Linked DNA regions of Drosophila melanogaster. The protein of the gene in region 1 purifies or fractionates together with the protein of each later gene. This does not show direct contact. Each region holds a gene or a part of one and is shown in the gene's direction. Other genes may lie near its edges.

The links.
Region 2: the proteins of eIF2Bepsilon (region 1) and CG3511 purify together in Drosophila melanogaster (affinity purification with mass spectrometry, with the first as the bait; one large-scale study listed by BioGRID). This does not show direct contact.
Region 3: the proteins of eIF2Bepsilon (region 1) and CG1529 purify together in Drosophila melanogaster (affinity purification with mass spectrometry, with the first as the bait; one large-scale study listed by BioGRID). This does not show direct contact.

Annotation. Positions count from the first base shown.
Region 1 is NC_004354.4:1,918,412-1,926,500, reverse strand, and holds eIF2Bepsilon (eukaryotic translation initiation factor 2B subunit epsilon), read left to right. Parts: upstream 1-3,626; 5' UTR 3,627-3,677; coding exon 3,678-3,770; intron 3,771-3,833; coding exon 3,834-3,958; intron 3,959-4,031; coding exon 4,032-5,320; intron 5,321-5,385; coding exon 5,386-5,672; intron 5,673-5,733; coding exon 5,734-5,949; 3' UTR 5,950-6,335; downstream 6,336-8,089. Other genes in the region: Ocrl (oculocerebrorenal syndrome of lowe), read right to left, coding at 1-55, 122-998, 1,066-1,398, 1,465-1,650, 1,712-1,973, 2,216-2,402, 2,636-2,743; mip130 (Myb-interacting protein 130), read right to left, coding at 6,567-8,089.
Region 2 is NT_033778.4:24,567,962-24,575,003, forward strand, and holds CG3511 (uncharacterized protein), read left to right. Parts: upstream 1-3,665; 5' UTR 3,666-3,746; exon of another isoform or gene 3,747-3,810; 5' UTR 3,811-3,944; coding exon 3,945-4,113; intron 4,114-4,163; coding exon 4,164-4,367; intron 4,368-4,424; coding exon 4,425-4,608; intron 4,609-4,662; coding exon 4,663-4,895; intron 4,896-4,953; coding exon 4,954-5,167; intron 5,168-5,220; coding exon 5,221-5,523; intron 5,524-5,590; coding exon 5,591-5,709; intron 5,710-5,854; coding exon 5,855-5,975; intron 5,976-6,034; coding exon 6,035-6,254; intron 6,255-6,322; coding exon 6,323-6,469; 3' UTR 6,470-6,542; downstream 6,543-7,042. Other genes in the region: Fcp1 (TFIIF-interacting CTD phosphatase), read right to left, coding at 499-641, 699-908, 979-2,148, 2,211-2,392, 2,474-2,910, 2,973-3,066, 3,157-3,563; Start1, read left to right, coding at 7,029-7,042.
Region 3 is NC_004354.4:21,028,152-21,035,487, reverse strand, and holds CG1529 (uncharacterized protein), read left to right. Parts: upstream 1-3,537; 5' UTR 3,538-3,628; coding exon 3,629-3,901; intron 3,902-3,954; exon of another isoform or gene 3,955-3,965; coding exon 3,966-5,231; 3' UTR 5,232-6,836; downstream 6,837-7,336. Other genes in the region: CG1532 (uncharacterized protein), read left to right, coding at 7,213-7,308.

The DNA of each region.
Region 1 (8,089 bases):
GCAGAAAGAATTCCCGGGGCATCGTCACACGGTATTCCGGTGATTCGTCATTCATCTGCAACGAAACGTGGTTCGTGATCAGTAGAAAAACTTCGTAATTACAAAAATGAAGGGAACTCACGAGTTGCTTAATCTGATCTTGGGAATACTCGCTTAATGGACGGTCGGTGCGGCACATCGTCTCCATGGAAAGGCCAAAGCAACTGGGCTGATAGTCGCCCGTAACCGTGATGAAGATGTCACGCCCGTTCTCCACGTGCAGGATGAGAATATCGAAGTTGTCGCTAGCACGGATCTTGCGAAGCAAGCCGGCAATGGTGCGCACATTGGCGTTCATTTTCAGCCGAATGCTTCGGGCGGAGTCGATCAGCAGCGAGTCTTGGCGCGGATCGACGTGCAGCCATGGCTCGCAGATGGCGTGTATATCCTTCTCTTTGAAACTGAAGTCCACAGGTAGTGGGCAGTTGTTATAGACGTTGAAGTCCCGTGTGCTCGGCTCGTTAAATCGCACAGTCCCGAAATCGATGACCGTCTTCTCGACATTGATCTGTGGCTGGTTGTCGTTCTCCCGCTTGTCCACTGCCTTCAGCACCTCCTCCTGCACCCGTTTGTACTTGACCTCATCGCGAGTCTTGACCTTGACCTGGAACACGGCGTACACGGGCTTGTGATCGCTCTGCCGAATCTCCATGATGCTGTTGTAGGCCAGCTGCTCGATGCGCGTGCCCTTCCAGAGCACTCGATCGCAGTAGGCCGGCGCCCGCTGCTTCTCGCTGCTGTCGTAGTTGTCCGTGCCCGGATCATACTTGTACGTCGGCCGGAACTTGATCTCGCCCTCGGTGTAGCCCTCAAAGCACTTTCCACGCCGCATCTCCTGACGTAGCTGGTCGTACTGCAGTAGCAGCTCGTATGTCTGGGCATCGCTCAGTGGTCCTGGTCGCTGTTGGCCGGGCGGCTCCTGGATGCGGTAATTCAAATCGCCGACCCAGAAGATGTGACTAGAAAAAGACAGAGATGGAGTGAAATAATACTGACTTATACTTATGCCTTCTTCCCCAAACTTACTCATGGTCACTGATTGTTCGGCCATCATCGAAGCGTATGCCCTCCACGATAGCGTTGTAGTCCTGATTCCGCTCCTCCACGTAGCCCATGTGGGCGGCCAGGTGGGAGTTCACAAAGCAGATGTTGCCCTCGTTGAGCTGCAGGCTAATGGCGACACCGCCCTTGTTGCCTAGCGTATTGAAGATGCCGCGGGCCACCGACTTTGGTCGGCAGCGTATGATGTGCTGCCGCAGCTGCTTGCGCACGATGACCGTCAGCATGGTGGCCACCAGGCGGTGCGACATCAGGATTTCGTACTCTACGTCAGGGTGGACGCTGTCCATCATCTTATCGCTGCGGGAGAAAGAACCAACTTAGACTCTCGGTAACGAGGCTATATAACTTATGTGGCACACTCACATCCATTGCTTCTCGATGGCCTGCACCTGGGTGGAGTTCAACATAGCCTTTGTGGGAGTATCTAGCTCCTGCAGTCCAATCGCGTAGATATCCGGCGGCTTCTCACTGCAAGCCAGCCAGGCTCGCAGTGGATTGTTGCTGTCGCTGCAGGTCTTGTTGTTCACATTCCAAGTGGCGCAGTAGATGCTGCAAGGATTGAATAAATGTGCGTGAGAACTCTTGCTTGACAGGGCATTTTCCATCTCACATTATGTCCTTGTAGACAATGTACTCGCTCTCCCGCTTCTTCAGCTCCTGCTTCACTTCTCCGATTTGCCGGTAGTCATTCAGCCACCTGAAGTTAAGCACCGTCTCGGGATCATGCTGCGCCATGGTGCTCTTGAAGGAAATCACCTTGGCCACAAACTCCTCGTAGTGGTGGCTCTCCGTGGCGTAGTAGTAGTACTTGATGGGGCCATCCTCGGCTGTGGACAGGTCAAACTGTTGCGTGGTGATCGAGCTCTTGCTGTCTGCAAAAAATTTGGAAAATGATATATGAAAAAGAGCGAGCTTTCACTAATTAGTTTGCTTTCATCTCAGCTGAAACTATTTGAGATACCAATATTATCATAAGTAAATGCAGTCGTAATCTGTTATGGCCAATAATGAGCGCAAACTTATTGGTTTTGTGACTACTTGACAAACAGTTACTGGGCAATTTGTTTGGCTAGCATAGTCAAGCTGTGTGATGAACATGCACCCTTCATCTCACCCTGTCGCAACTGGAAATTGTGGTCGATTGCGAACACCTTGTTGATGATCAGCTCGTTCGCGGAGGACAATGGAGTGCGCAAGTAGGAGAACGCGATGATGGCAAACGTGCCGCCCGACTGCGATGAAACCAGGGCCAGAAGACGGTTGGAGTACTCTGGTCCTTTGATCTGATACGCCTCGAATATCTATAAGCAAAGGATTGTTTAATAGCAGCCGTTTTAGGTTTTTTTCTGAGCGAAGACGTGAGTGTGATTTAGGCGTAAGGTTACTTGTTAGCGATAATTAATCATCATTTTAGTGTATTTAGCATGTTTCCTGCTAATATTCGTCATTATACTTTAAAAGTCAATCATGATTGACCAACACTCCTTTCTAAACCTTCGCCTGCTTTGATTCGCCAGATCTGATGATTGCTTACGTATTCTATGGTCTCGTCCTCCTTGAAGCGCTCCTTGACAATGTCCTTGGTCGTCCTGGTGGCCGCAGTCGCGGTTCCATTGGCCACTGCCTCGCTCAACGTGTCCATTTGTCTCCGGATTCTGAGTACTGATAGGGTTTTCGAGTGCGCTTCGCTTTCCCCGCCAAGTCGGATTCTCCTCCGCCGCCTGTTTGCGAAGAGATGGCTGCGCTAATCGCTGAATGAAGGGCAGTACTTGAGGGGTTTTTCTTCTGCGTCGATAAATGTGCGTGTAGATATGGATATGGGCTGTATGGACAGTTTGCTTGTTTGCGTCGTTGCTCTTTTCTATTTATAGTTGGCGCGAACGCCCAGTGACTTGTCTTCGTCTGCTGCGGGGTCGCCTGCGAATGGGAATTCTTCGGGTCTTCGCTGGACTGGGAGCTGGCTGCTTGGTTTCTGGTGGCGAGGGCGTCACTGCAACTGGCCGGGGGGTGACCCTGCTCTTGGGCAGCGCGACCGTGGCGGAAGAGCAGTTGAGTTGTGGAATCGTGTTCAGTGCTTATCGCAGCCGTTTGTTTGTTTTCTCGCTTGCTGTGTTGTTGTTGTTGTTGCCTCCATCAAGGTGGGTGTATCGCACACACACGCACACGCACACACTCGCGCCCAGGGGCACTTATTCATCGGCAATGCGATGACAATTATTGGCAATCCAGCGCGATCTTACTAGGCTCGGCCGGCTGATGGGGCGCGGGAGAGGTGGGTGTTAGTACACACAGCACAGACAGAGTGGCACGCGTGCTAATTACCGCGCTGCGATCATTATTTATTTCCAATTATTTTCCGGGCGACTCTTGTAGCCGTTTTCGCGGTGTGACCAGTGTGGCAATGCTACGAAATGCGGCGTTCGAGCGAGTCCAATCAGAATTGGTTGGCGACCCGACTAAGCGTGTGACCAGCCTGCAAGTGCCATTACATACCGCATACCGCGTGCCGCAATCGCTCCAGTGGCCAGCAAACGAGTTGAATTTTTGGGGAAACTACTGGGTTGCAACGCGAGAAGATGGCCCAATTCGAGAAGGAGATCGTTCAGGCGGTGCTGATCGCCGACAACAATGTGTGGAACTTCAAGCCCCTCTCCGACGAGGGCTCTACGGTGAGTGAGCGCCACTGGAATAGGTGAATATCCATTGACTGTCGACCGTTGGATTCTTTGCAGGCCCTGCTGCCGCTGGTCAACGTGCGGATGCTTGACTACGCTCTCATGGCGCTGAACCGCAGCGGCGTGGAGGAGGTGTTCGTGTACACCAGCCTCTATCGCTCGAGCATCCGGGAGCACATCAGGTGGGTTCAGTTGCGGCAGCTGGCAGGATGATGCAATTATGGGTGCTAAACGCTCGATTCGCGTTTTTTGCAGGGCCGGCATTGCCACGGACGCAGCCTGGTCATTCAAGATGACCGTCCATGTGATTGGCGGCGAGGGTTGTCGCTGCTTCGGCGATGCCATGCGTGATTTGGACAATAAGGCGCTGATCCGTGGCCACTTCATTCTGCTCGGCGCCGATACGGTGACCAATGCCGATCTGCGCCCAGTGCTGGAGCAGCACAAGCGGCAGGCCAAGTTCGACAAGGGCACGGCCGCCACGCTGGTGTTCAAGGAGTGTGCCAACAATGTGCGCACTGGCAACGAGGTGCTGATCGCCGTGGACCGTCGCAACGACCGGCTGCACTACCACCAGCGGCTGCGGATGCACCACAAGGAGAATCGCTACCAACTACCACTAGATGTCTTTCTGGGCAACTCGTGTGTGGCGCTGCACCACAACCTCCTAGATCCGCAGATTGCCATTGGCTCGCCCTCAATGCTGTCCCTGTTCAACGACAACTTTGACTTTCAGACGCGTGATGACTTCGTCAGGGGTTTGTTGATAAACGAGGAACTGCTGGACAGCAGGATATATGTGGCACTGCTCCCGGCAGCCCAGTACGCGCACAAGGTGAACAACTGGCCGGCCTACCAGCTGGTTAGTCGGGACATTATCAACCGGTGGGCCTACCCCTTCGTTCCGGACATAGGCCTTTACAAGCTGCAGCAGGAGTACGTCTTCCACAAGGACAACATCTACAAGAGCCCCGAGGCGCATGTCTCGAAAGTGGCTTTGCTCCAGAACGTGGTCATCGAAGCGGGCAGTCACGTAGACAGTGGCTCAGTGATTAGTGACAGCGTGATTGGCGCCAATTGCCGGATCGGCAAGAACTGTCGACTGACCAATGCGTTCCTCATGGCCGACGTCACCGTAATGGACAACTGCAGACTGGAGCACTGCGTGGTGGGCGAAGGAGCCATCATCAACGAGGATTGCGACGTGAGCGCGGGCTGTGTGCTCGGTGCTAAAAGCGTGCTGCCTGCCAAGAAAACGCTGGCGAAGACCCTTATCACCAGAACGCCCAGCAGACGGCGTAGCGATGATGAGGTGGTAGTGGAGCTGAAGTCCATCGGTCCGCATGCCTATATTGTCAGCGATTTGACGACGGGTGATCCCGAGGACTCGGAGTGCGAGGACTTGTTGCCACAGCAGCCGCTCAGTATACCCAAAATGGGAGACTTGCTGGCGCCGCTGGACGAGATCAGTTACTGCAGCGATTTTAGCGAGGACGACGAGGATGCCTCGCGAGCGGTAACGCCACTGCCCGATGACACAAACAGTGAGTGTTGTCCACAAGTGCAGTTGAAAGTCATTCTAATCATGTTTACCAATTGCCAATTCTAGTTTTCCTGGGCGAAGTCATCGATTCCTTGACACGGGGCTTCCGGGAGAAGTCCAACCCTGACTTCCTTGTCCTAGAAATCAACTCCTCGCGCTATGCGTACAACATGTCCCTCAAAGAAGTCAACTTCAACGTGGTGAAGGCCGTTTTTGGCATGCAGAGCATCGTGGAACCGGCCAACGACAACGTACTAGTGGCCATAAACGCAGCCTTTAAACAACTGGGCCCTGTGGTATCCAACTACATTAAGAGCGAGGATTCCATGATGGATTGTCTCAAGGCGCTGGAGGTGAAGTCCCCATAATTTTCACACAAACCCACACCCACTTTACCAATCCCTTTTCCCGCAGGATGTGTACGAGGAGAATCATCTAGTGCGGGGGAAGATCTCGCAGATCGTGCACTATCTGTACGACAAGGACTTTGTGTCCGAGAGTGCCATTCAGGCGTGGTACGCGCAGTTGGACGAGGAGGAGCATGCACACCTGCGCCAAAGCCTCGCCAAGCTCGTGGCTTGGTTGGATCAATCCAGCGAAGAAGATGATGACGAGGAGGACGATGACTAAGCAAAGTCGTAGCCCTTATTCTTTATTCCCATTTGTTTAAGTCATTTCCTTGCTCATTCTAAGGAAATGGAAAATTAATGTAAGGTCGCTCGAAAATTCACATCGACATATTTTGGCCAAATTTCGACTTTGCGTCCGAAATCTGCTAGTTTTTTGGCCACAACGTCGGAAATAATTGGCGAAAGATGAAGTGTGATGCATCGTTGAGCTTGTAATTAAAATCCAAATCGACTGACATTCAAGCCTGAACATTTTTATTTTTTCACATTTCTCGCAAAAAATGTTCCACTTAGAAAAATTCAAAATTTGTAAAAAAAAATATTTTCTTGTTTATTGAAGACTTGCTATAAATTTGTTATTAAACTTTCTTACAAAGTCAATGCAATATTTAAAAAAGTGTAATAGTACCAATGCTTTTTGAATTTTTAAAAACCCTTTCCTGGTATTTAAAAAAAAAAACGATAGTCAGTCAGAAAGCTATGCGGATTATTTTGTTAAATTTCCTATTGCAGCGTATTATTGAAAACTTTTCACGAAAACTTTTACCTAAGCTAAAGTCCAGGAGGCCGGCGTAGAAAAGAGACTAAAGATGCGGGTATTGGACATCGATTAGTCCTCTACAGATCCTTATCGTACACAAACTCCTCTTCCTCCTCTTCTTCCATGATCAGGCCGACCATGTCGTCCTCCTCGGTCTCGGCGGCCGATTGAAACTCCTCATCGGATTCCTTCATCGACTCAATGGTGATCTGCGTGTCCTCGGTCACAGCCGGATTGAGTGACTGCTCCTCCGGGTCCAGGTGCTGCTCCTCCAGTTCCAGGTGGTGCTCCTCCAGGTCCAGGTGCTGCTCCTCCGGGTCCAGGTGCTGCTCCTCCAGGTCCAGGTGATGCTCCTCCGGGTCCAGGTGCTGCTCCTCCAGATCGAGGTGCTGCTCCTCGGTGTCCTGATCCTCGTCTTGTCGCTGCTGGCTCGCATACCCTGCGTTTTCCGACCCGCCAGATTCCAGTTTCTCTTCCTTCTCTGTGTCTGTGTCCATGGGATGGCTACTGTGGTCCATCTTGTCAACTTCGCTGTTCTCCTTCCCTTCAACCTGCTTTGGACTGCCTTTCGCTTTTGTCTTGGAGGTATCTGCGGCGGGCTCCTCATCTGCCCCATGCTTGTGATCCTGCACATGGTCCTCATCGGTCTCGTCCTCGGATTTCAGCGATTTAATATCGTCGTCGCCATCCGCCACGCGACTCAAGCTCTTCTCCTCCAAGCGTCTGCTGATGTCCATGGCTATGTACTCCAGCCGCCCCTGGACACTCATCTGGAACACCTCGCGGTTTTCGCTGCAGATTAGATTGCTGCGCACTTCCTCGAGGCAGCCTTCGAGCACCTCGTTAACCTCGCTCACTTCGCAGTCGCCGCCGAGATTCTGGGTCACGATCAACAGCGTGGTCAGGTCCTTCAGCAGCTTTATCATCCGCGTATTCTTCACCATGCCCTTGTTGATGTCGTCGACCGTCTGTGACGCCTTGGCGCGGCACTCTTCGCGCAAATATGTCGGCGAAATCATGGCCTGGACATTGGGATTGCGTGTCAGGCTGGAGGACAGCTCCTGCACCTTGGTGAGCTCGAACATGAGCTCGGCGTTGATGCGCTCGATGGTCACGATGTTGAAGGCATACTGGCGCTGGAAGTTGACTGCAATCTGTCGGCGATGGCGATCCCCATTCTCGTCATGGCTTATCATATCGCCCATGGCCAGCTCGGCGGTGCCGTTCATCTTGTTGAGCCGCTGGATTCGATCCGCCTTAACTGCAATGTACTTCTCCAGGCGCACCAGGTGCTCCAACAGCGAGGTGGAGTAGCCGCGATTTCTCGTCAACTGCTGCCGAATGGGACTCACGCCCACCGAATCCTGTCCCAGCAGCGGATCACTCTTGTTCAGCTTCATGCTGAGCGCATTTCGTGCAGCCGCATTATTGGTGGCCAGGTGCTTCTGTGGCTTGAAGTAGAGTGATCCCGCTCCAGCTGCCGCTCCTGCACCGCCGTCTATTTTTTCCTTCTTCTGCAGATAGTTGTTGGTAAGATTTGCCGTGAAGCCCAGATTGGTGGTGAAGCCGAGGTTATTCGTTTGATAGATGCTCATCAAGT
Region 2 (7,042 bases), on another chromosome or scaffold:
AAGAGTAAAACTTCAGCTGGATATTACTAGTATATTTGTTCAAGTTTAATGTGAATTTGTATTACAAACACAACGCAAACAATAAACAACTACTGGTGTGGTGTACATTCGTTTTAAAATTAAACACTAGGTACTAGTCCGCTGAAACGGAATTTATTTTTAAAACATTTACATTTACAGTAGGCTTCAATTTACATTAGATCAGAATGAGAGTTTTTGATTCAAGAATGTACGCGATTGAAGGACCTGGCCGCCCGCACGTGTGCGCTATCTTACAGGCTATTCTAAAGTACATATTAACAGCTAATACATACAGTACGAACCCTAAGCATAAGTGTAGTTGGACGCTCTACTCAAGGACACAGCCCATTCCATTGTGTTCAATCATGGTCTACCGAGAATCAAATATGTCTTGAGTGTCTGGCCAGCAGGATGCAGGGATGCCTCCAACGCGGGGTCTCATGGCCCTGTCTGGTGTTCACAGATGCTACAGAATTTCTACATGTCAAAGTCCTCCAGGCCGAGGAACTCCCTTTCTAGAGCGGCGCCCATCATGTTCCATTCGCCGTCGTCCTCGTCCTCCGGTTCCTTCTCGCTGTTGGACTCGGATCCAAGCTCCAGGTCGGAAGGCAGGTCTTCCCCTGGAACATTGATGCAAATATTAAAAGGTTAACACAAGTTTTGTGCGGACGGGCTACCTCGCCTAAACTTGGCGCTGGGCATCTCATCGTCATCGTCCTCCTTCTCGTTATTGTCATCGGCCTCCTCGTTCGAGCTAATGTCCACCTCCACGAGGTTTGGCGCTCCAATCATTATATCATCGCTTCGCGTGAAAAAGTCGTGAGCTCTGTTGGAATTATCATCTTCGCGCTTTCTCTTCAACAGCTTCTTGTCCATTGGTGGATTTTCTTGAGTTATTAAAGACGTATTCGATTAAACGTGGATACAGACACATGGATTAATAAGTAAAATACCTACCAAAATTTACAGGACCCTCGTCGCTGGACGAGTCTGACTCGAAGAATGTTTCGTAGTCCTTATTCATAGACTCGATATCTGCGTTGGTGAAGACCAGCAGCGGATTCAGCGTTTCGCGGAAGTTGCCGCTCTGCTCCTCCTGCTGCTTGCTGCTCGAGGGTGAGATCTCCGAACGCTCGCTGTAGTTAACCACGTGCTCGGGACTATGGCAATGGGCGGGTGGCTGGCGACCCTTGTTGCGTACCTTGCGGTCCAGTGGAAAGAGCTTCTCCTCCACGTGCTCCCAGCGCTCGGCGCAGGTCCACAACCAATTCGCATTGACCACTTTAATGGCAGGCTCTTTTTTGGCGGCGTTAACCTTGTAGGTGCCTGCGTTGACCGCCACTAGATGCGTTATCTCCTTGTCAATATTGGGCTTCACTTCGGCGCCCAGGCTCTTGGCTATGAAATACGCCCGCGACTGCTCGAGCTTCATCTGCGTGGGCACCAGGCCGGAGAACACCAGGTTCTTGCCGCGCAGCACTTCGCTCCGAATCTTCGGAACGATAACCTTTAGATCGGGTATTTCCGTGGTTTCGTCGTAAATAGAGTAGAATCGCTTGTGAATGTTACGAAGTATGACCTCTAGATACAGCAGGTAATCGTCGGGGTCTTCAATCTCTATCTGCTTTTGCCCCTCGAGCGGTGCTCGTAAGCTGGGCGTCTTAGACGTGGTGGCCACATCAGCGTCAGCAGACGGGCGCTTCTCATCCGGCGAAGTGGTGGATGAGGCTACAACCTCATTCTTTTCTGCCGGTGTGGGGGGCACCTCGGCTTTTGTGCTCTCCTTGGAATTATCATCAATAACTACTACGTCTTCGCCATCGCTGGCTGCTTTTTCAGCATCTGGTGAGCCAGATGAGCTGTCGTCTATGACCACAATATCCTCAGCATTAGTCTTGCCATTCAATTTGTCTCTCGGCTCTTTGGGTGCTTCTGTAGCGCTTGAGGCGTTGGAAACCTCTGGATCCTTGGCATCGCCCTCTATTTCGAACACGTCTACTGACTCCTCGTTTACATCGTCATCTTTGCTTGTGCTTGTGACGGTATTATCACCCTTATCGGTGTCTTCTGGTTTGACTTCGCTGCTGGATTCCGTCTTATCTTTGTCCCCATGCTTCTCGGTAATCTCTGCAACAAATGGAAATATCGTTAGAAACATTCAAGTCAGCTTGCTGGAACACCCAACCCACCTTTAAAGTCAACGCCTTCGCCATCCAGTTCATGCTTAGACAAACCCGGCGGGGCATTGATGTCACCAGTGTGTTGAAAGAAGTGGTAGGGCTTAACCTGAATCAAATTTGAAGCCATGTTCCACACATCCTCGCGATCGTCAATGATGCACACCATGGAATCGCCATTCGGAAACAGAGCCCTGTAATATACAATTTGTAGATTATTGTTTAACACGTTTAACAAGTGAAAATCCAAACAGCTTTCAGGTATAGAAACGCACTTTAAATTGTCCGTCTTGCTGGTGGCGTTGAAACACTCGTCTCTGGACAGAATCCTGTGCGAGAAGAACTTGCCCTCCGGGTCCAGCAGCTGGGCAATCATGTGCGCGTAGTTACGCGCACCAAAAGTGCAAATGTGCAGTTCGTACAGCTGGGACATGCGCTCCAGAAACTCGGCGGTGCCGGGGCGCAGGCGCGTGTGGTACCACGGGGAATGTGGGCCGTACAGCTGGAAGTGGTAGATGCCCTTGATGTTGTCCGGCACAGTGTCGTTGGTGGTGTGGATCACCGTCTGATCGAGATCGACAAGCAGGACCAGCTTCCTATCCGCCAGCAGGCGGCGGGTGTCGTCGTGCCCGAGCTTCTGGGCCAGCTTCTGGGTGACCTTAAGATCGGGCATGGTGTGCACCATTGGCACCGAGGCCTCGGAGGTCTGTCCCTGCGGGTTAAATGTTTAATTATTCTATATGCCCCTTGAGGTGGGTGGCAATGTGCACTCACATTCTCGTTCTGACGCAAGTCGGCTCCGCAGTCCGCGCACATGTCCTTGATGACCGTGGTGTGTATGCACTCGGACAGCTCCAGAATGGCATCCCTAAAGAACAGGCTCGGTTAGTGTGTATACGGCTGCATAATTGCATTCCCCCACGCCCAATCGCCGCCCGATTGCAACCCCCAAACTCACCCCTTCGTAAGAAGCTCCCCTTCCTTGCGAAGGCGCTTCTTCACCACTCCGGCGCGCTGGGACTTGTACCTCTGGATGGCACAGTCCCCGCCCGGCTTTCCCGCGTCCTTCGCGTCCTTCGCGTCCACGCCCACGGGCTGGTAAAGAAACAAGATTTGGGCCGCCGACACGAATTGTCCCTCGCGAACCCGCCATTTATTGATTACCGCTCTCGCCTCGTTCTCTCCCAGCGCAGCTCTCAAAACAATGATGCCGCCACCGCTGGTGTTGTTGTTGCTGTTGCCGCTGGCGCTGTTCTTGGCTCCGCTTCCTCCGCCGCCATCGTCGCCTTCGGCAGCTCCAGATGCGGCCACGCCCCCTGGCGCGCGGCTGGGCGTCGCGCCCTCCTCGTCCGGTATGTTCTGCATCGCAAGGCTTACGTTTTTATATACAAACGATTTGTTTAAATCCCAGTGCCTTGTTGTGTTTGCAATTTGTGTGAATATTGCGCGGAATTCGCATAAGAGCGCGGACAACTTTTGTAACTGCTCTCAAACAGCTGACTGAGCGCGAAAGGCGGAAAGTACTGATGGGGGTTTCACTTCGATTTGGTTAGTTAATGTGCGTAATTAACCATTAATTGGTAATTCAATTTATTTTACTCGTTTCTTTTAGTTTTGAGTTAAAATACAGGATATTCGTCCAAAGATATCGCAGAATCATTTGAATCAGCTGCTTTTGACCGTTAACCAACACTGTTTAATCGGCGGCAAACTAGTTCAGTCGTATTTTGTTTATTAACTTCCAAAATGAGTGATAAAACCAAGGAAGACCTGAAGCGCAGTGCCCCGGAGGAGGAGAATGAGCCCCAGGAGGAATCTGTGTCATCCGAAAAAGAGGCGGAAGGCGAGGAAGACGCCTGGATTGGACCCATGCCTTCAGAGCAGAGCGCTCCCGCGCCCGCCAAGAAAAAGAAGGGTTATTATTAAGAATTAGATTTCATTTAACTATAACTAATCAATAAATAGTCCTGCCCTATGAACACATCTACCTGGAAAACCTGCCCAATGCTGAGAGCTACGAGAGGAGCTACATGCACCGCGATGTGATCACTCATTTGGTGTGCACGAAGACGGATTTCGTAGTGACCGCCAGTCTGGATGGACACATCAAATTCTGGAAGAAGGGCGAGCTGGGCATCGAGTTCGTCAAGCACTTTCGCAGCCACCTAGGTGGGTTCTTGATCCACATAACGTGTATTTCTTCGTTTAACCAAGTGTTTGTTGCAGTACCCATCAAATCACTGACCACCAACGACAGCGGCACGCTGCTCTGCTCGGCGGCCACGGATCAGACAGCCAAGGTCTTCGATGTTGTCAACTTCGACATGATCAACATCATTCGATTGGGCTACACACCGCAGTGCAGTGAGTGGATAAATGGGCCGGGAGATGCCGTACAAGCACTGGCCATGTAAGTACCTTATCAATATCTGGAGATTAATGATTCTGATTGCTCCTCCTCCAGCTCGGATTCAGAGAGTAGCCGCATACACATCTACGACGGGCAAGGAGGCGGAGAAGCCCTTCACACCTTGGAGAAACTTCACTCGGCGCCCGTGGTGGCGATGTGCTTGAATGTGGCCATGGAGACCGTCATTTCTGTCGATCGCAATGGCATTCTCGAATACTGGCAAAACTCGAAGTACGACTACAAGTTTCCACAGCGTCTGGTGAATTTTGACTCCAAGCTAGACACAAGTATAGATCGATGATTAAGCTGAGTGAACCTAGACTCATCTAAATATTAACCTTTTAGGCCTCTTTGAGTTTGCCAAACAGAAGACCCAAGTCACGGGTTTAGCCGCCACGCCGGATGGAAAGCGTTTTGCCGCCATTTCCACAGATCGTAAGGTCCGCGTCTTTCAGTTCAACACGGGCAAGTTGATCCGGGTATTCGATGAAGCTCTATCTACATACACCCAAATGCAGCAGACGAAGCACGCCCTGCCCAACATGGAGTTTGGCAGAAGGTAAACTAGAATAAAATAGTTATTATTTATTGGTTTAAAGATATGAATTCCAGAATGGCGGCTGAGCGGGATCTGGAGAAGACTGCCCAGAATGCAACCCTTAATATTTTGTTCGACAGCACTGGCAACTTCTTGCTCTACCCAACGATGTTGGGCATCAAGGTGATCAATGTGGTAACGAATCGCTGCGTCACAATTCTAGGAAAAACCGACAACATACGGCCCCTCCAGGTGGCCTTGTTTCAAGGAAGAATTAAGCGCCAAAAAGCTGCTATAACAATGGAGCAAGAGGCCAGTGAAAACCCAGCACTCCAGAATATCCTTAACGATCCAACAGCCTTTTGCACTGCTTACAAGTTAGTTCATACCGTTTTGAATTATATCTATGCTGTATTATAATGTCCATTCTACTACTCTTATTAGAAAAAGTCGCTTCTATTTGTACAGCCGAAGACTGCCCTCGGATCTGCAGGATGTCGACCGCGATATTTTCAACGAGAAGCCCTCGAAGGAGGACATTATCGCCGTGCCGGAAGCTTCAGGTATTTTGGTTTGGCTTATCCCATTAACCTTTCTTAACTAACCCAAAACATGTTTCTATTGCACGCCAACAATATTTTAAGACGAAGGTTATTCCTATCAGATATTTCAAGAACAATTCATTACAAAATGTTCCTTCTATTCTAGTCGTGCAACGCATCTACGAGAACGTGGTGCTCCACACCACGAAAGGCGATATCCACATGAGGCTGTTCTTCAAGGAGGTTCCAAAGACGGTTGAGAACTTCTGTGTTCATGCGAAAAATGGGTATTATATATACGTCAACTGTTGAGAACTGTCCCATTGCAATCACATTATTTTGTCAGGTACTACAATGGACACATATTCCATCGCGTGATCAAGGGCTTCATGGTGCAGACTGGCGATCCCACGGGAACGGGCACGGGCGGCAAATCCATTTGGGGAAGCGATTTCAAAGACGAGTTCGTGCCGAGCCTGAAACACGATCGGCCCTACACGGTCAGCATGGCTAACGCGGGTCCAAACACGAATGGAAGCCAGTTCTTTATCACAGTCCTGCCCACGGTAAGGATGAATGCAGCGGTGATTAGTTTACTTTACTGGATTGACTAAGTACCAATCTCTAATTGCAGCCCTGGCTCGACAACAAGCACACGGTGTTCGGAAGAGTTTACCGCGGCATGGAGGTGGTTCTCAACATTTGCAATTCCAAGGCGAATCCCAAGACGGACAAGCCCTACGACGACATTAAAATTATTTCGATACACTTAAGTAATTGAGCAGAGGGCTAAAATAAAACTTTCAGCGACACTGGTTTTCAAATCTTCGGAGAACCGCCAATGCGCCGCAAAGAATTTTGGTATTTTTTTTTAACTCGGTTTTTTTGGTGTTTTCCCAGCCCGGCACACTAAACAGCTGATTCGTTTCTTGCATTCGGTGTTCCTTTTGTTTCGATAGTGCAATTAATATAAATTGGGACAACTGCAAATCTAATAGTATTATTAGAACCGGAATTAGTTGTGCACCTTCTAGTATTAGAGACTTATTAACATAACCAACCTGTGCCTACCGGAAATATAGAGGTACTTCTCGCAAATTATGCGGGTTCTTGCAAGATAATACGATACCATTTGTTTATGGCTGAGTAAAAAAAAAACAAAGAACTCCAGGCTGACGAGTCATTTGTGCGTATCGGCACTGAATCTGCTCCAGATTCGAAAACTAGGTTTATTTACATTTGCATGCAAAGGTATATTGTCTTCGATATGTGAATTGTAGTATACGTACATAGTTGCCTTTATTTCCAGACATGAGCTAGGCCAAATATAACCGCTCGCCATGTCCAATATGGA
Region 3 (7,336 bases), about 19 Mb from region 1:
AGGGGTGGAACAACGTCGATTTTGTCAGACACTATCGCTGACTGCTATTTCGCAACTATCGATTACGATACCCAGGGCTACAGCCCGATGTCCTAATAACGAAATCGGAATTGGAATTTGAAATATGATTCGATGATGATAGGGTCACATAAATGTAAGAACAAATTATTGCATTTCTGTCAGGCGTAATACTTGGTCATTTGGAAAACAATTATTTGTGTTTCATATATTATTTTTTTTCCTCGCTCGGGACGACTTTTCTTTGATTTGTTGTTTAATTGCAGGTCATACTTAAGCTAACGCAACTTACAATCCATTGTAAGGTATCTAAAGTTGATTTTTAGATCCGTTTATTCATAATGTGGAATCGCTTGTATTTTCACAATTTTCAGACGGGAGGGATAAACCAGATATTGAAAGGATGATGTTTTCTTCACATTCGGAAAAGCATATATCCACCCCAATTTATTACTAAAATTAAATATTCATTGCCATTTGAAATGATATTAATATAATATTAATAATAATTTTATTTTCGATATACAAGTTTATAGAATTTATTAAAGCTAGTAAGCTGGATTGGTAACGATATCGATAAGAGTGACCGATCTGGTCACACCGGCAGTGCGTATGCATCGCAGCAGGAAAATTTGCGTTTGGCGCGCACAATTCGTGGCAATGCTCACCACATTTACGGACATCGCGCGCCTGCGCAGGAGTTGCCTCCATCACAACACACACCTATGTTTGGTTCGCAGGATTAGGTTTTTTTTAAATTCGTTTATTTGACATATTACATTTAGCTAAGAACAAAAATAAAAAACAGAAAAACAGTTGGATGGCATATTCAGTATGTGTCGCACGTTTCAAGGCACCTTTGAGCAGCATTATTACCGTCTTGCTGGTCGAGTCGGCAACGCCAACTTCAGCTCCTTGGAGTGCAGGGCGTTGGACATCACCGTGCGATCTTTGGTTTGACACCGTCTTTGCCCTTACTCGGTTCTTCATAGCTAAAGAGGCCATTAGGGATGGTCTGTTGGCTAGCATCAGTTCTTGCGGTGCATTTGGCATGCGAATTCTCCTCCTCCGGCAGCCTCACGCGCAGCTTTAGTTGGAGATCCTTCAATCTGGCAAATGTGTTCTTCATTGCCAGATTAATGCTCCTCACCCCGTTGTATAATATATCTCCCATCTCCTCGATTTCTAGAAAAGGGGGCCTTGCTGGTTGGGCTCTGTTTGGGGGGGAGGTCACTTATAATGGCCCCTTGGGGGTGCCATCGTTTGGCTTATAGGGTGGGGTCCTTAGAACCTTGGACTGCAAGGTGTGCGGCCCTATACCATTCGCCAGGTGATGGTTACGGTGCTGGCCGATGAGGCTCAGACACAAACCATTCCGCCGGCCACCTTGGCTCAGACGCAAAATGGGTTTTTATTATGCTGCTGCCCGGCTGGTCAAGAGAGCAAGCGCAGCGTCATGGACTTAAGGGTTGGGTGTGAAGGGTGAAGTTCCGACGGGGGACTCATAAGCGGAGGGGTTGGCTATTGGTCTGCTCCGTGATTTTTACACTATTACTGTGTGTTAGAGACAGTCACTCCTGTCTCTATTTAGCTGCCGCGACACGGAAAATTTTCGGGTTTTCCAGGAGCGTTAACTCGATTCGCCCGGCTACTCGCGCGCGTCCCCAGTGCTCTGATTACACAGGATTAGGTTTTTTTTTTTTTAATTCGTCTATTGAACATTTAAGATTAAGATTAACAGATTAACAATGTAAAAGTAAGGAGGGCAAATCCAGGACCCCCCGCGGTATGGCCGTGAAGCATTGCTTCGCGAGGACGATCAGGATTTGCAATGCAAAACAAGATTTTTTCGCATGGTGCCAATTGATCAAAAATAATATAGATTTAAAGTCTAAGAACTTCTGAGGTGAAGGGCATATTTTGTCAAATTTACAATGCATGAACATACGTGTGCACACATACAGTTGTCTGCTATTCGCTGTAGCGCTCTCCGCTCTCTCGCTCTCTAACAAAAATTCGAGAGAGCCTGGAGCCACCTCTAGAGCCACGGCCAAAAAATCGTGTGCCAAAAAATCGTATGGCGTTACGCATCTTGTTATTCTAGTGTCTTTGCATAAACCAAATCATAGAATGCCTTAGGATATAAGTCATAAATTCAAGTATCCCATAAGAACCCCAATTCTGGTGACAATAAAAAATCCAGCCTGCCCTAATGTAAACATTAACATCCGCTGCCGAATTCGCTATTCCCACCAAAGGGTCAAAACCGCTAACGCAGCTGAAGTTCTCGGCTGATCAGTACCCATGCGCGATCCACTCAAGAGGGCACCCAATCCACCAGACATAAACATCCGCAGCCGCATTCACGACTCCCACCAAAGGGTCAAAACCGCTTACGAAGCTCAAATCCTTGGCTTATCCCAGCATCCATGCACGATCCACTCAATTCATAGAAATACATAAGAGGAGCCCTCTTTAGCTTAACACATAAAGAAGTAAATTTCAGTCAAGGGTTTGCTAAGCATTCGCTTTGCAACTTACAATTAAATTTAATTCTTTCACTCTACGAATAAGACCTGAATTGTCTCCGCTTCCACACTTTTAATTTTATTTGAATAAATTACAATTCCAATAAATTAATATCATATATATTTTTATATTGTTTTGAAATTCTTACTCGTTTGCCTCTGACTAGGATATTTTCCACATGAACCGCGGTTAACGACCAAAATGGGCAATTCAGGATGACAACTGTTTGTAATTTTTGGTATATTTATATTTATATTTATTTATATTGGGTGATGACTGTAAAATCCTCAGGGCATCCTAGGTTGGGTGGGTGCGCATGTATGTTCATTTGCAATTAATGCTTTTGATTACCTTTTTTTGTTCCTTTGATTATTTGAGATCTTAGGTGTGCAGAGTGGTGAGACGTCGATAGTTATCGATATTTCTATTGCGAGCTGTGTGGTAAGCCTGAGCTAGAGGCACTGCAATAACGAAGGATAAGCAGTTCGTAACAAATTATTGCATTACTGTCAGCCGTAATACTTGGTCATATTTGGAAAACAATTATTTGTTTTTCATATATTATATATATATATATATATATTATTATATTATTATTTTTAGATTTGTTGTTTAATTCACGTTAAGAATCCGTTTTAAGGTCTCTAAAGTTGCTTTTCGATCCGTTCATTTAAATTGTGTAATTTTCAGGCGGGTTTTATTTATAAATAGAGAGGGACCAGATATTGAAAGGATGAAATAAACTGTAATACCGGAAACATCTTACTAGATGCATTCTTCGCATTGGGAAATGTTAATATCCACCCTAATTTATGACTAAGATTAAAAATGCATTGCGATTTCTAATAATATTAATGTAGTATTAATATTTTCGATATACAAGCTTATAGAATTTTTTAAAGCCTATAAGCTGGATTGGTAACGATATCGATAAGAGTGATCGATCAACGGCAGCGCAACAGGTGTCGCCCTCTGGTAACACTGGCGGTGCGTGTGCATCACAGCAGGAAAATTTAAGAGGCGGAAAAAAGAACTGGATTTCCACGTAGAACGTTGCCTTTAACGCGCACGATTCGTGGCGATGTTCACCACATTTACGGACCTCGCGCGCCTGTGCAGGATTTGCCTGCGTCATCTGCGCGACCGCGACACCCACTGTCCCGATCCGCGACTCATCGCGATTCTGCAAAAGTTGCTGGACATCGACATATTGAAGCAGCCGCATGGATTTCCCACTGAGATCTGCAACCTGTGCCACAACGCGGTGGTCTACTTTGACGAGCTGCGCCAAGTGGCAAGGGAATCCAGCCAGAAGCTTATCGGATGGCAGCCAGTGGACATCGCGGTCGACAGGGTGGATATATATGTCCTTTTCGGCTTGTTAAACCTGGATTAATACTTTCTTAGTTCTTTCCTAGGTGAAGGAGGAGCCGCCGGACGAAGGACTCAAGGAAAACCATGAGGAAAATGAGCATGAACTGGAGGAAGAGCATGAAAAGCAGGCGGATGGGCAGCAGGTAGATCTGTCGAAGAAGCAGGAGGATCAGAAGAAGATTCTTGACGACCGGGAGGATGAGGAGTATCCAGATGAGTACGAGAACAGCCAGCAACAGCTTAGCCAAGGCACTGGTAGTAAACGACGCGCTGGCTTGGCCTGCGATCAGTGCGGCAAGCAGGTGTACAAGCTACCGTACTTGGAGGCCCACATCCGCAGCGTCCATCAGGGCTACTCGAAACCCTTCTTGTGCCGCAGCTGCGACAAGTCCTTCACTCGATATGAGCAGCTGCGCTCCCACATGCGCAACGCCCATCCACAGCTGGAGCAACTGCAGCAGGAGCTGCGCGACCTAATCTGCGAGCTGTGCAACCGGCAGTACAGCACAAAGAATGCCTTGGGCGAGCATTTAAAGCGTCATGCCCAGCGCAAGGAGCACGTGTGCGAGCACTGTGGAGTGGCCAAGGTGACCCGAACGGAGCTACTGACCCACCTGCGCACCCACAATCCCACCTGGGAGCGCTTCAAGTGCGAGCAGTGTCCGCAGCTCTTTCGCCACAAGAGCGCCATTAGCCGGCATGTTCGGGTGGTCCACGAGGGTCAGCGGCGGTTCCAGTGCGGTCATTGCGAGAAAAAGTTTGGCACGCATGCCTCGCAGGTGCGGCACGAGCGGCTGCACACGGAATCCACGGGCTCGGGAGAGGCAGCCGAGGAATGGCCCTTTGCCTGTATTCACTGCCAGAAGCCTTGCGTTTCGCGACAAACCCTTGAGTTGCACCTACGAAGGCACCGCGCGAGAAAGACGCACAGAAAACGAAGGGAGCACAGTCGGGAGAGTCAGGAGCAGGAGCAGGAGCACGACCGCGATCAGGAGCAGGGCGCTCGGGAAGCTCAACAGGATCAGCTCCGCAAGGGGGAAAAGCTACGGCAGAGAGATCTCTCCAGGGAAAGCCACCGAAATGAGGTGACCATGCAGACAAGCCAGCGGCCAAATGAGTGTCAACAAGGTCAAGAGTCCTACGATCCGGAACCGGATCCGCTGGAGGCAAGTCAGTGCAAGCTAGAGCAGGAAGATGCACTCGATCCGGAATGGCAGCACAAAATAGAGCAGGACGCAGAATCGCAAGACTCGGCGCGACTGGAAGGGCATTTCCATGACTACAAACCTATCCCTTCGAAAGCCTTATGATCAACTATAACCTATCCATATACGTCCGGTTACATACATCAGGTTAGCGCCCCTTGAGCAAAAATCTTTGATTTGAGATATTTAGAAAACTGTTAAAGCTAGAGTTTTGAAAATTGCTTTTCATTCAAACGTTGAACAATTCTATAAATGTAAAATTTATATAGGATGCAGTTTCTTGTTTATAGATTTTTATTTAAGTAAAAAAAAAATCCATAAATGGGTTAATTAAAATTGGGTTATCAGGATAACGCCCCCTAAGATAATTTAAGTTGGTTCGATTCATTTCGAAAGAAATTGGGATGATTAACACTTAAATATTTAAATTAGAATATTTTTAAAGGAAATTATGGACTTCACACATTCGTCTGGAAAGGGAATCATATATTTTTTTTGTAGGTAATCCAAAGTAATCGCAGACCAATCGAGTTTTATTCCGGTGAACGATTCGTTTTGAGTGGCATATTGTTTACCACCCTCGTATACCTTCCTAGCCAACCATACCCACACGTTATCTATTATATAGTAGTAGTATGGTGGTAGTAGTATGGAATCCATGTTTTTGCCAAACGTGCAGTGTGGATTGAGACACTGTCAATTTGAAAATGTCATTCTAAATTTCCAAAAACGTTTCTAAAGTAGGGAAATGCAGTTTTGAATTATAATCTTTTGCGTTCATTTTTGGTGTTTAAAACTGCAATTTACCTATAACCCGACTGTGACAGCGATCCAAAATGTACGCAAATCATAATAGTAATGAAAAAAGCCGTCTGGTTTCTCCAGATTAAATTTCTTCTTGTCCGAAAATACGACGCCACTCCTTAGACCAAGTCAAATGAGCTCGAGCAAAACTCAGACCCGCTTTTTTTCGCAACTTATTGAGAGGTGGTTTTATTTTCAGTTTTTCGTGTTTTATGTTTAGCTGTCTTAATCACCATTTGAATCAAAGATTTGATCTGGTTTTCAACACTTTTTCTCGAATTTTGGCGGAGAAGTCGTGGGAATTGGGAGGTATTCGAAGTATGGACCTGCGATCTGCCGCGGTAAAGACAAGGTTATTGCCACCATTATTTTTTTTTTCCATAAGTTTCGTTCTTTTGAATAAAGTTTATTATAGGGTTGCGACATCTGGCGGGTTTTCTGAAATTTTATGATTATGAGCATTAATAGAATGCTATGATATTGTATATTTCCTGCAGGGATAACAGGGTTCCTCTTAAAGCAAACTTTTCAATTCAACAGCATAACAAATTTTGTTGTCCTTACCTTAGGACCTTTTTTTTATCCTCAAGGAGAGAGGGAATGTCAGTGAACAAAAAACAACAACATTGATGAATTTTCGTGCAATGGCAAAACCAGAAAATAAAAATGAACGGAGCCATGCAGGGGGCGCTAATCTGATGACGCGTAGTGTATATCCAATGAACTATCATGCAAATGTGGCTAGGACGCATTAGCGAAAATTTTTAAATATCTTACTTTCACGACATTTTATCCTTGCTACTACAATGTATTAAATAGTTTTATATGTTCGCTTACTTCGTATTTTATACGTTTTATATGCTCGCTTACTCCATATTTTAAGTGCCTAATAAAACTGTTGACGATAATTGCTTTTCATGGAAGGACTTTTGTGACAACATTTTGGATATACTCTTTTTTTAAAGTGTATTTGTCAAGTGTAAAATTTTGTGTCACAAAAGGTAAATTCCGATATTCGTTTTTTGAAGGTGCGATAGTCATTAGTTTTTTCCTCGTAGATGTCAATCAGCAAAAAGCGCACTTTATAATTTAAAACTTACAGTGTATTTAAATTTATTATTATTTAGTCTAAACTAAAAAATATCGATACTTCCAAAAGCTCCCGTCGCTGGGAATATTTGCTGTTCTGCGCACGGCCACACTGAAACGGAATGTACATAAACAAGGCCGAAATTCGATCGGAAAGCACTTGCTGAATAAACGCCAGCTGATAAACACAAAGATGTCGGCCATATCGGGACGCGCCCTGCACTATGTGTTCAAAATCGGAGATCGGGCGAAAAACGCCTTCTTCTTTCGGCAAATCTTGGGAATGACGGTAAGCTGGGTGTGGCGGGCGTATCGCC